3 linked regions of the Rattus norvegicus genome follow. The protein of the gene in region 3 purifies or fractionates together with the protein of the main gene of each other region. This does not show direct contact. Links are inferred from orthologs where the notes say so. Each region holds a gene or a part of one and is shown on either strand. Other genes may lie near its edges.

What was found.
Region 1: the proteins of Clgn (region 3) and Slc12a2 purify together in Homo sapiens (co-immunoprecipitation; 3 studies listed by BioGRID and IntAct, with this or other methods). This does not show direct contact. The link is inferred for Rattus norvegicus from reciprocal best matches to the Homo sapiens genes CLGN and SLC12A2.
Region 2: the proteins of Clgn (region 3) and Tctn2 purify together in Homo sapiens (affinity purification with mass spectrometry; 3 studies listed by BioGRID and IntAct, with this or other methods). This does not show direct contact. The link is inferred for Rattus norvegicus from reciprocal best matches to the Homo sapiens genes CLGN and TCTN2.

What each region holds. Positions count from the first base shown.
Region 1 is NC_086036.1:53,573,763-53,577,414, forward strand, and holds part of Slc12a2 (solute carrier family 12 member 2), read left to right. Parts: intron 1-1,955; coding exon 1,956-2,063; intron 2,064-3,185; coding exon 3,186-3,309; intron 3,310-3,652. UniProt on the Homo sapiens protein: Cation-chloride cotransporter which mediates the electroneutral transport of chloride, potassium and/or sodium ions across the membrane. Plays a vital role in the regulation of ionic balance and cell volume.
Region 2 is NC_086030.1:37,647,510-37,651,161, reverse strand, and holds part of Tctn2 (tectonic-2 precursor), read left to right. Parts: intron 1-359; coding exon 360-471; intron 472-3,076; coding exon 3,077-3,183; intron 3,184-3,652.
Region 3 is NC_086037.1:41,612,530-41,616,181, reverse strand, and holds part of Clgn (calmegin precursor), read left to right. Parts: intron 1-1,369; coding exon 1,370-1,451; intron 1,452-2,542; coding exon 2,543-2,735; intron 2,736-3,425; coding exon 3,426-3,615; intron 3,616-3,652. UniProt on the Homo sapiens protein: Functions during spermatogenesis as a chaperone for a range of client proteins that are important for sperm adhesion onto the egg zona pellucida and for subsequent penetration of the zona pellucida.

The sequences.
Region 1 (3,652 bases), on a different chromosome or scaffold from region 3:
GAGCTTTGGGTGTATTTGTTCATCGGTGTCAGTCCTGATTCACGTTGTGTGTGTGTGTGTGTGTGTGTGTGTGTGTGTGTGTGTGTGTGTGTATGTGTGAATGTATGTATATATATATAGTAAGTCTTGAAGTCAGATTAACTTCTTCCAAAATAGTTCTAGCAATTTTAGCTTCTTAGTAATTAGTAGTACCTTTATTGTTTATGTATAAATAAACTATTAAGATATACTGATCAATAGAGCTGGGCATGTAGCTTGTTGGGAGGTGCTTGTCTAGCCTTCACAAAGCCCTGGTCTCAGTCCTTAGCACCACACAAACTGGGTGAAATGTCACATGCTTGTAATCCCAGCGTTTGGGAAGTAGAATGGGTCATTGTCATTGTGGTGAAGATCTGGGTGGCACGCAGGCAGGCATGTTGCTAGAGAAGTAGCTGAGAGATTTAATTCCTGATCTTCAGGTAGCAGGCAGAGAGAGACAGACACTGGGCCTAGGGTAGACTTTTGAAACCTAAAAGCCCACCCCAACAACTCATGGCTTCCAACAAGGACACACTTCCTAATCCTTCCAAACATTCTGTAAGTCAAAGCTCCTAACACCTGAGCTCTTACACTTCTGTCTGTCCTGGACTTGGTCCTGTGTTTACGCACGTTTCGGCAGTCAGGCTAGCGTTCCTTACTTCCGTTCAGCGCTTCATTTGGACAGCTGTCTTGCCTGTCATCTTTGCTGCTGTATGTGGTGGACAACAGTGATGGAGCCCCTATTTTCAGTCAGTGTCACTACGTCCTTTCTACTCCTATTCACCATTAAATTTTAGAAGTGCTGAGGGAAAACATAAACTGGAAAGTCAGAAGTCCTACTTGACTTTTCCTACAGTATTTTCTGATACTAAGCATAGGATACTGATGTGTTTGTGCAAAGGACAGTGCTTCTGAGAATTGAGCCTGAAGTTTTCATGTCTAACTCTTGAGTGTGGGAGGAGTGCACATGCATGTGCAGAAATGTTTGGGCACAATGCACAGGGGAAGCAATATACTGCATGTACATGTAACCTTCGTCACTTATCAGGGTGTGACTAATTGTCTTTTGCTTGTAACTTCCTGTATCCCAGGTATTTAGAAGCAGAATAGAATTTGTATCATAATCTTTTTGGCTTGGCATTTTTACCTTTAACTGTTATGTACTTAAAAAACTTCATACCTACATTACTTTTACAGCCCGTACAAATAAACCCTCTTGATGTATGAGTACACTTTCATAAGAGCTTACCTCAGTCTGACTTACTGGCTAGATCTAACCATCAGTGTTCTAGAACCTAGATGAGAGAAATGAGTTACATAATAGAGAGATAGAGTCAGCACATCACAGGATATAGGATAGGAGCTCCAGAGTGTGGCAGGAAAAACAATTAGAAAAATTCAACAGTATGACCATATATTACAAATATTGAAAACCACATTACCCAAATAACAGCAGACATTTTTGAGAGCTGTTTAAAACAAACAAACCTGTCTTGAAATGACCAAGAAAATGGGGTAGTTGGGGTAGTTTGATTGCTGACAACATAGGGATACTGTGAAGAAAAGTTCAGATAACTAAGCTGACTAATGGCTGTAGTTAGACTTTTCAAAAAGTCTTCGCCTCTTAAGAGATACAGACTGATCCTTCATGCATTAAAAAGCCAGGAGTCTTTGGAACGTGGTGTGGGATTGGCCCACGTTGTGTTTGGTTGAGACCTGGTGTTGTGTAGTTGGTAGTTCGTTACCCACAGTTTCCGTCATTTGTGCATTTGAAAATTTATGAGGAAAGGGTTTTTAAGTCAGAGACCTATTTTAATAATTTGTAATTTACTTCTCATTGCTATTACCAGATTCCTATCAGATTATTTCTAGTATTAGTTTTCTTTATTAGAAACCTCAAGTTGTGAGTATTTACTCTGTTCTGTCATTTATTCAAGGTGATGAGCATGGTGTCAGGATTTGCACCCCTGATCTCTGCGGGTATCTTTTCAGCCACACTCTCATCAGCACTGGCATCTCTTGTGAGTGCTCCCAAAATATTTCAGGTAAATATTTTCATATTATTGTTATTGAAGATGTTAAAATAATATTTCAAATTCAGATAAATTACCTTATCAATCTCATGTGTTTGTTTGCATATACATATATCAAGATTGGTGTAAATTTTATTTACATAAATGCTGTGTAGATCCCTAAAAACATTTGTGCATTTTCCTACTGTCAAGGTACAGCCTTGAAATGTCTTTAGGAAGGATGATTGGAGGGTCTGGAGAGATGGCTCAGCAGTACAGGTTCACACAGAGAATCCAGATTCAGTTTCCAGTATGTGCACTGGGTGTACATAATCAGCTGTAACTCCAGACACATAGATAATTGAAAATGATAAAATAAATATTTTAGGGATTAAAAATATTTTAGGGATTAGGTGGGTTTTGTTTTTGGCATACTTAGCATTAAAGTTTAGGATGGTTGTCAAGTTAGGAGTGCAGCGTAAGACTCTAAATCAGAACTGTAAATAGTGGTTTCAGTTAACATGATGCCAACTTGACTATCTTATGTGGCTCATAGTGCAGCGACTGTAGTAGAGGCCGTGATAGCTAGGATGAGTGTTGCTTCCTATGGTGGTCATTAAGCATCTGACAGTGATAAGTGTTGACTTTCTAGCCTTGCTCTTAATACTGTATTTGTAGCAAGAAGTATAGCAGTGTTGTCTAATAGGACTTTTAAGACAATATCTGTTAGGATTGGGAGAAAAGTAGTTCAACTTTATACTTCGGGTTTTTAATCATTTTCATTTCAGATTTGGAGTTGGTTTTCTTAAAGCCTTAGGTACACTGTATCATAATGCCAACTTTTAGGGTTTTTCATTGTACTTTGTTTGAATGACTGCTTCTCCGATTCTTCATAAATAGAGTTTTAACATGGGATGGAGCAAGACAAACAAAATCTTTAGCAGTGTTAGGAACCATCTAGCCTTCAGCTGTCTGAACTGTTCACTTGTCCTTTATAGTCTGTCGGTGCAGCACCGAGAGACAGGAAACATAGTATCGGAAAGGAGAGACTTGGACTTCATTCTTGGTTAACATACTTTAACTGTTTGCAGATTTGCACATCGTAAGTTTTATGTGTTTTGTTTTAATGTTTGTATTTTTTTTCCCTTGGGTTAGGCTCTATGTAAGGACAATATCTACCCAGCTTTCCAGATGTTTGCGAAAGGTTATGGAAAAAATAATGAACCTCTTCGTGGTTACATCTTAACATTCTTAATTGCACTTGGATTCATCTTAATTGGTTAGTTCTATGAATGGTATATTATGTAGGTTTTGGTATGTTTTGATATAGTGTTATCTGTAATCATGAATATTAAGTTATTAATGTATATTAATTAGTTTCTAATCAAAGTAAAATATTGCAAATAGTAGTACCTGATATTACTTATTAAACTTAATTCCATTGTGCAAAATTAGGGTAAAAGGAATATTATATTCTTTCTTTTTTTGTCCCTATTCTTTCTTTCCTGCCTCCCCCCCACCCCTTTTTTTTAAGATTCACGTAGCCCAGCCTGGCTATTGCAGCCATAGATAATCTTGAATTCCTGATGGTCCTGCCTCTATTTTGTAAGGACTAGGGTTAT
Region 2 (3,652 bases), on a different chromosome or scaffold from region 3:
CATTCCCATAGACCCAGCACTTAAAAGGTGGAGGCAGGAGGATCAGGAGATCAGGCCATCCTCAGCTACATAATCAATCAATTCAGGCCAGCCTGGGCTATGTGAGACCTCCTCTCTCTCTCTCTCTCTCTCTCTCTCTCTCTCTCTCTCCATACACACACACACACACACACACACACACACACACACACACGCACACACTTTTTGTTTGTTTGAAACAGGGTCTTCAGGTTGGCCTTAAACCATCATGCCCCTGCCTCAGCCTCTTGAGTGCTGCTGAGAGAGTTTTCAGGAAGTCCTTGAAGTAAATCTTTACTTGTATTTAGCAGAACAGTGAGGGGCTCATCCTTCTCTTGCAGCTGGAAGGGGCCTGTGCACATCAGCCGCCCTCAGACCTGTTTTGTTTGGAGAAGATGCCTCCTCTGGCTGCCTTTTGGAAGTTGGGATTAAGGAGAACTGTACACAACTCAGGTGAGTCTCTCGTTGGTTTGGTTTGTGGGAGACAAGGTCTCCCAGAGCCAAGAAGATCCTCAACTCTTGAGTCCTCCTGTCTCCACCTCCCCAAAGCTGGCTCCTGTGAGATTCACTGGTGAATTTTCTTCCATTTTTGAGTGGTCTCCCTAAAATTAATTTTCTGTGTGAATGTTAAAGACAAGACTGAAAAGTTATGGTGAATGGCGTGGACGTGATAGCTAGTGATAGTTAGTGGACACACGCAGTGGATGTGATAGATGGTGGACATGCGGTGGACATCATAGTAAGTGGTGGATACACACACATTTGTTTTTAACATTTATTTATGAAATGATTATTGCGTGCATGTGTGCAGTGTAAGAACAGAGGCACATGTATGCCGTGTGTGTGTGTGTGTGTGTGTGTGTGTGTGTGTGTGTGTGTGTGTCTTACCCTGTTTTAAGTTGGTGTAAAATTCCCATGATGTAATTAATCATTCAGAAGTAGTGACTCAGGCAGACAGAGTAGCACACACCACCGTCCCAGCACTCTAGAGGCTGAGGCAGGGTTGCTGTGCTACTTAGGGTCATCTTGGGCTGCAGATAACACCTTGTCTCAACATAAAATCAAAAGGTCTGTCGGGATGACTCGGCAGGGAAAGGCATGTGTTGCCAAGCCTGATGACCTGAGTTCAAGACCATGACTCATGTGGTAAAAGAAAACTGGCTCGGGGGCTGGAGAGATGGCTCAGCAGTTAAGAGCACCGACTGCTCTTTCAGAGGTCCTGAGTTCAATTCCCAGCAACTACATGGTGGCTCACAACCATCTGTAATGGGATCCGATGTCCTCTTCTGGTGTGTCTGAGGACAGCGACAGTGTACTCATATACATAAAATAAATAAATCTTTAAAAAAAGAAAGGAAGGAAAACTGACTCACTCAAGTTGACCTTTGACCTCCCCAAGTATGCCATGGCACAGGCATACATGCACACACACACAAATGGCTTAAAAGGCTTAAGACAAGAAAAGGTGAACTGTCCAGTGTCATTGAGGCCGTTCACGGTGTTATGAAAGGCTTTATCTAGTTCTAAAACATTTTCATCACCCAAGGTGGAAATCTGTATGTGTAAGTAGTTACTCCCCCAGCTCTCCTCTCCACAGCCCTGCTTTCTGCCTCTGTGGCTTTGCCTGCTCTGGACATTCAAATGGGGTCACACCTATGTCACAGCGTGTGCCAGAACTCCATCCTTTTCCATGGTGACTCTTCGCCTGCCTCTGCGTGTCTGTTTATATCACACCTTGTTCATCCGCCTCGGTTGATGGACGTCCGGGTTCCCCATCGTTTGGCTGTGTGTACTGCCACACGCAGGCCGGTGCAGGTTTCAGTGTGAATGTGCTTCCTGTTCTTTTCAGTCTGTGCCCCTGGGAATCAAAGTGCCAGGTCATCTGGTAATTCCCTTTTCTGTCTGCAGAACCCACTTTAGTACCATGGTGGCACCTTTTGCCATCCTCAGCAGAGTGGGACGGACGGCTCCAGGTTTTCCACAGCCTCCCAAGAGTTGTTTTTTTTTTTTTTTCTTTTTTTTACATTTATCTTTATTTCGTGGGAGGTTGGGTGAACATAAATGTGCTTCACACGCGGAGGTCAGAGGACAACTCTTGGGAGCCAGCGCTCTCTCTGGCCACGTCGTATGGTCTAGAAATCCAGCTCAGGTTGTTAGGCCTGCATAAGAACTCCTCCATCCGCTGAGCCACCTCACTGGCCCCTCCCAGCCTACTTCCCCCCTTAAGATTCATTCATTTTATGGTGTGAGCGTCTTACCTGCAGGTATGCATCTCTGTGCAGCCTGTGCAGACAGTGCTTGCAAAGGTCAGAAGAGGTTATCAGATGCCCTCGAACTGGAGTCCCAGATGGGCGTGAGCTGTCAAGTGGGTGCCAGGAATTGAACTCTAGCCATGAGGGCTGGGTGAGACGGCAGCCATTGTTGGCACCGGGCAAGGAGCAAGCGTGCATTTAAAAATGACACACTACGGGGTTGGGGATTTAGCTCAGTGGTAGAGCACTTGCCTAGCAAGCGCAAGGCCCTGGGTTCGGTCCCCAGCTCAGAAAAAAAGAAAAAAAAAGGGAGGGGGTTGGGGATTTGGCTCAGTGCAAGCGCAAGGCCCTGGGTTCGGTACCCAGCTCCGAAAAAAAGAAAAAAAAAAAATGACACACTACGAACCCAAATCTGGAAGAGCAGCAAGCATTCCTTTTATTTGTTTTGTTTGTTTGTTTGTTTGTTGTTTTTCCATGACAGAGTTTTTCTGTGTAGCCCTGACCATCCTGGAACTTGATCTGTAGACCAGGCTGGCCCCAAACTCATACACCTCCTCCTTCCTCTGCCTCCCAAGTGCAAGGATTATAGGCCTGAGCCACCACGTCAGGCTACCAGTAAGTATTCTTAACTCCTGAGCCATCTCTCCAGCGTACACCCACACACATGCATCCTGTTTTTACCGGCAGTCGCTCCAGCAGATTTCTATCTGGGCTCCCAGCAAAGACAGGTGGCCACTCTTGGAAAAGGACTTAAGGACCAAGCCCGCTGGCCACCGGCTGAGAAGTGTTATCTTCCTTCTTTGCAGGGAGAATGTCCTTCAGAGACTAGATTTGCTGATCCAGGCAACGCACGTTGCGAGGAGAGGCAACTCGGACTACGGTGATCTGAGCGATGGCTGGCTGGAGGTCATACGTGAGTCACCCTGGCCATGCGTAGGGGTCACTGATGTTGAGCATTTTGCCCAGGGCTCTCTGTAGGCAGGAATCTTTCTTTCCCCAGCTCTCATGGCTCCTGCTCGAAGAGGAAACTATCTCGAGCTTCCTCTTGCTGACAGTCCCAGCTTGAAGACGTACGGGTCACGTCAGTTTGCACTTCTATTTTGAGCACCCAAGAATATCGGCATCGAGAGTTAACCCGTAGTTTATAGAGAGTGAAAACGTGGTGCTGAGTGAAAGGGGCCCAGACACAGACCACCCAAAACTTCCACTCCATTTGTGTGCAAGGCCCAGAATGGACAGATGTGCACGGAAAGCAGAGTCATGAGTGCTAAGAACCAGGGAGGCACTCTTGGGACCTGGAGAGTTCTATACGGGAAAATTTGAAAGTAAATCTGGGGCTGAGATGTGGTTCCGCCTAGTGTCTAGAGTGTGGAGAGCTGTGG
Region 3 (3,652 bases):
ATGAGCCCCACACAGAAACTGTCAAGTTGTATTTTAAGTAAAACTTGACACTTTAGGGGAAACAAATAAATAAATGCTTTTTAAAATTCTTTTTGCTAAATTCCATAACAGAATTGACATTTTCCAGCCTTTATTTCTGTATCATTGAAATCACCTTAAGTTCTTCAAGTGGGTGAGGGCCAAGCCCCATGCCAAATGCTGCTCACAAAGGATGTCAGTGGGGCAGGCAGAGAGCTTAAGAAGCAGTTTGGGGCTTTCCTACTTGAGAGGGTGGGCTTGGAGCACCCTCGTGTGGACAGCTTGGGAAATACAGCACAGGATTGGTTTGCTAGTTACATATAAATCAGTCCCCGCCCCTCTTTCTGAACCGAGTGTAGACCAATTGGGTTCAAGCTGGCAGGTTGTATCTTGTTTTTCATTTCGTCCATGAAATTGCTTGGGAAGCGTTTATAACTCTACCATTCATTAAATGACCAGCATTGTGCAGTTTCTTTGTTTTTGTTACTTCACTTAACAAAACTGTTTTTGTTTTTGTTTTTGTTTTTTCTTTTACTGTTTTTCGCATTAGTCACATGGATTTCCCTCATGTGACTCATCAATTCATCTGACACCTGGGCATCTGCTCGATTATCCTAGCAATATTATTTCTGTAAGACACGACCTAAAACAGAACAAAGTTGCTGGAGACTTGTCGTATGTGGTAAATCTATGAGAGACTCATAGCTGTCACACTAGACAGTAACATTTCCCTTTCTCACAGCCATTTCGGTGTGAAAACCCAATTACTGAGTGAAAATCTGAAACCTCTTTGCTAGAGAAATTCAATAAACCAAAACTATCGAGCACAGTTCAGATGGAGTTGAGTTAAAATGAAAATTAGCGTTGGGTTCTGAATCTCCAAGGTTATTATTAGGCTCTGAGAGACGGGATATAGCTAGGTTTATACAGAACACGGAGGCCAGGGATTGGCTCAGCAGTAGAGTGTTTGCTTAGCTTGTGCAAGGCCCTGAGTTTGACACCGGGCCACGGAGACTGTAGGAGAATTACTGCATCAGAATTCAAGGTTTCCTGTTGCGTTTTAGTTAAAAATCTCTTTATCCCCCATGTTAACACTTTGCTGAGAAAATCATGGAGATGAGATGGCTGGTTTCCTCCAGTAATTATTTCTAAATATTTTAACCTCATAACTTGACTTGTGGATTAGATGAGCATTTCTGCTCTCCGTATTCTTCATTGAGTGAGTGTGGTGGTAATGTAAAATTATTCTGCTTAGGGCGGAGAGTAATTCGTTACACTCTAAGTTATACTTTACACTAAGCAATGAGTAATGTTTACTTTATCAGCAGTGTGGTTCTTTCCCCCCATTTAGATATGAAGTAAATTTTCAAGATGGTATTGACTGTGGAGGCGCCTACGTTAAGCTGCTAGCAGACACTGGTGACTTGATTCTGGTATGACATTTTACTATCTAAGAACACCTTGTTAGAGTCAGTAAGTATTCTAAGGACTGGTTGACAACTGAAAATCCCATTTTCATTGTCTTTTTCTCAGTCTGAGTTTACATGGCCTTTACAGTCTGCTGTCCAGATCCATTCACAGTCGCACTGTGTGATGGAGACATTGGTTCTGTGCTCTTTGGTAACAATAACTGTGCTCTATCTGGGGGTAGAAGTCACGGGTGCTTAGAGATGCTCAAATGACAGCACAAAGCCCACATTAAAAGCCGCTGCTTCCTATGTTGCCAACGCCCAGAAAAGCCCAAAGCAACTTGGGAGAGTTTGGGGACATTTCTTACAGCATTCCACAGTGGGAGGGAGCTCTGTGTTTTGGTTACGATGGCTTCGCTGTGGGCCAGCTCCAAGGCACACAGCAGAACCTGCCTTCTGCACTGGTGGCCGTAGGATCAGGTAAAAGAGGCTGTTTGTAGGATGTAGTGAAGCTCATTTTAGATCTTGGAAGTCTTAGCGGCGGAGTGGCAAAAACAGAGTTGGCTCGAATTCCTTTACGTACTTAGTTGGAGCCAGCATGTCCTCAGAGGCCTTCTAAGGTGGGAACTGTCATCTCCACACTTGAGGCATCATGGGAATGGATCCAGGGGGCTCGGAAGCTCGCTCAGCCACACGAGTGTAGGAACCGCAGTGTATCGAGGACAGCAGAGCCACACTCCGGAGCAGGGTGAAGTCTGGAGCGCCCCTCTGTGTCCGCGCACCTTTGTGTGTTTTTAACTACAGTCTTCCTGAGTAATGACAACGAGGAATCATTTTAGTCTAAGGTCACGAATGCGCCTGCTTCCCCCAGGGACTGCTCATACCTGTGTGCATAAAGCAGTTGCAGTTTTTCTGAGCTCTTACACGCATCCTTAGGAAGGGAGTAGCGTGCGCTTTTCTAAAGTTTTCATTTTGCCATGTCCTTTGTTGTCGTTTGTGTTATTTGGTAAGTTGGCATTTAATATAGTCTGTAAATTCTGCCCACTGGACAGAACAGAGAAAGTCAAAGGCCGCCATGACTCTGGACTAATTGGGAGCATCCTCTCTCTCTGAAGGAAAACTTTTATGATAAAACATCGTATACCATCATGTTTGGACCAGATAAATGTGGAGAAGACTATAAGCTTCATTTAATCTTCAGACACAAACATCCCAAAACCGGAGTTTTTGAAGAAAAGCACGCCAAACCTCCAGATGTGGATCTGAAAGAGTTCTTTACGGACCGGAAGACTCACCTGTATACCCTCGGTACCCATTCATTCATTCATTCATTCATTCATTCATTCAAACGTTCTCGTTTCCATGGAGACGCTGAGGGCCTGTGCTTTCCGGAGAAAGTAAATGTGTCTACCTTTAAGAAGTTTATCTTTGGGGGAAGATAGGTTGTGTCACATAAATGGGGGTGGGAGTGTCAGAAGAGGAGACTGCAGAATGGGAGTTTCTTAGCAGTGCCTCTTCCCTGACCGTGGCCCCTGGGTGGGGTTTTTGTATGAAAATGTACATTTGTAGGAAAATCCACTTTTAAGAGTGGAACTCTCAGGCGGGTCTGAAACAGTGTACATTCTTTGTGATAACACTTGCAAACCTCTGAAGTCTGAGGGGTTTGTCTCACTATGAGGAAGACGGGGCTGTATGCTGTAGCTGTGAAGAGGGACACTTTGGGACCGTGAGTCCCCACCAGGGCCACCTAGCTGTTGGGTAATTTTACCTGTTGAGATAATGGGATTTTTCATTGTTGAAAAAATTGAGTTTAAAATAAATCTTATCTTTATTTTAGAAAATACTGTAGCAAGTGATTTCAGCGAGTTTTGATTCAATACATTGGTTTTTCCTGGTTAGGAGAAAAAAAACTGCCCATAAACTTGGTCATTTTATTATTTTGAAGATTCTATTCCATATGTCGGATACTAATCCTCAAGTGTTTAAATTGTTCTGTAGTGATGAATCCGGATGACACGTTTGAAATATTAATCGATCAGAAAGTTGTGAACCAAGGGACCTTGCTAGAGGACGTGGTCCCACCTATCAATCCACCCAGAGAAATTGATGACCCGAATGACAGAAAGCCAGAGGAGTGGGATGACAGAGCCAAGATCCCCGACCCCACCGCCGTCAAGCCAGAGGACTGGTAAGTCAAGGGAGGCTCCGTAACTGGGCGGCTAACA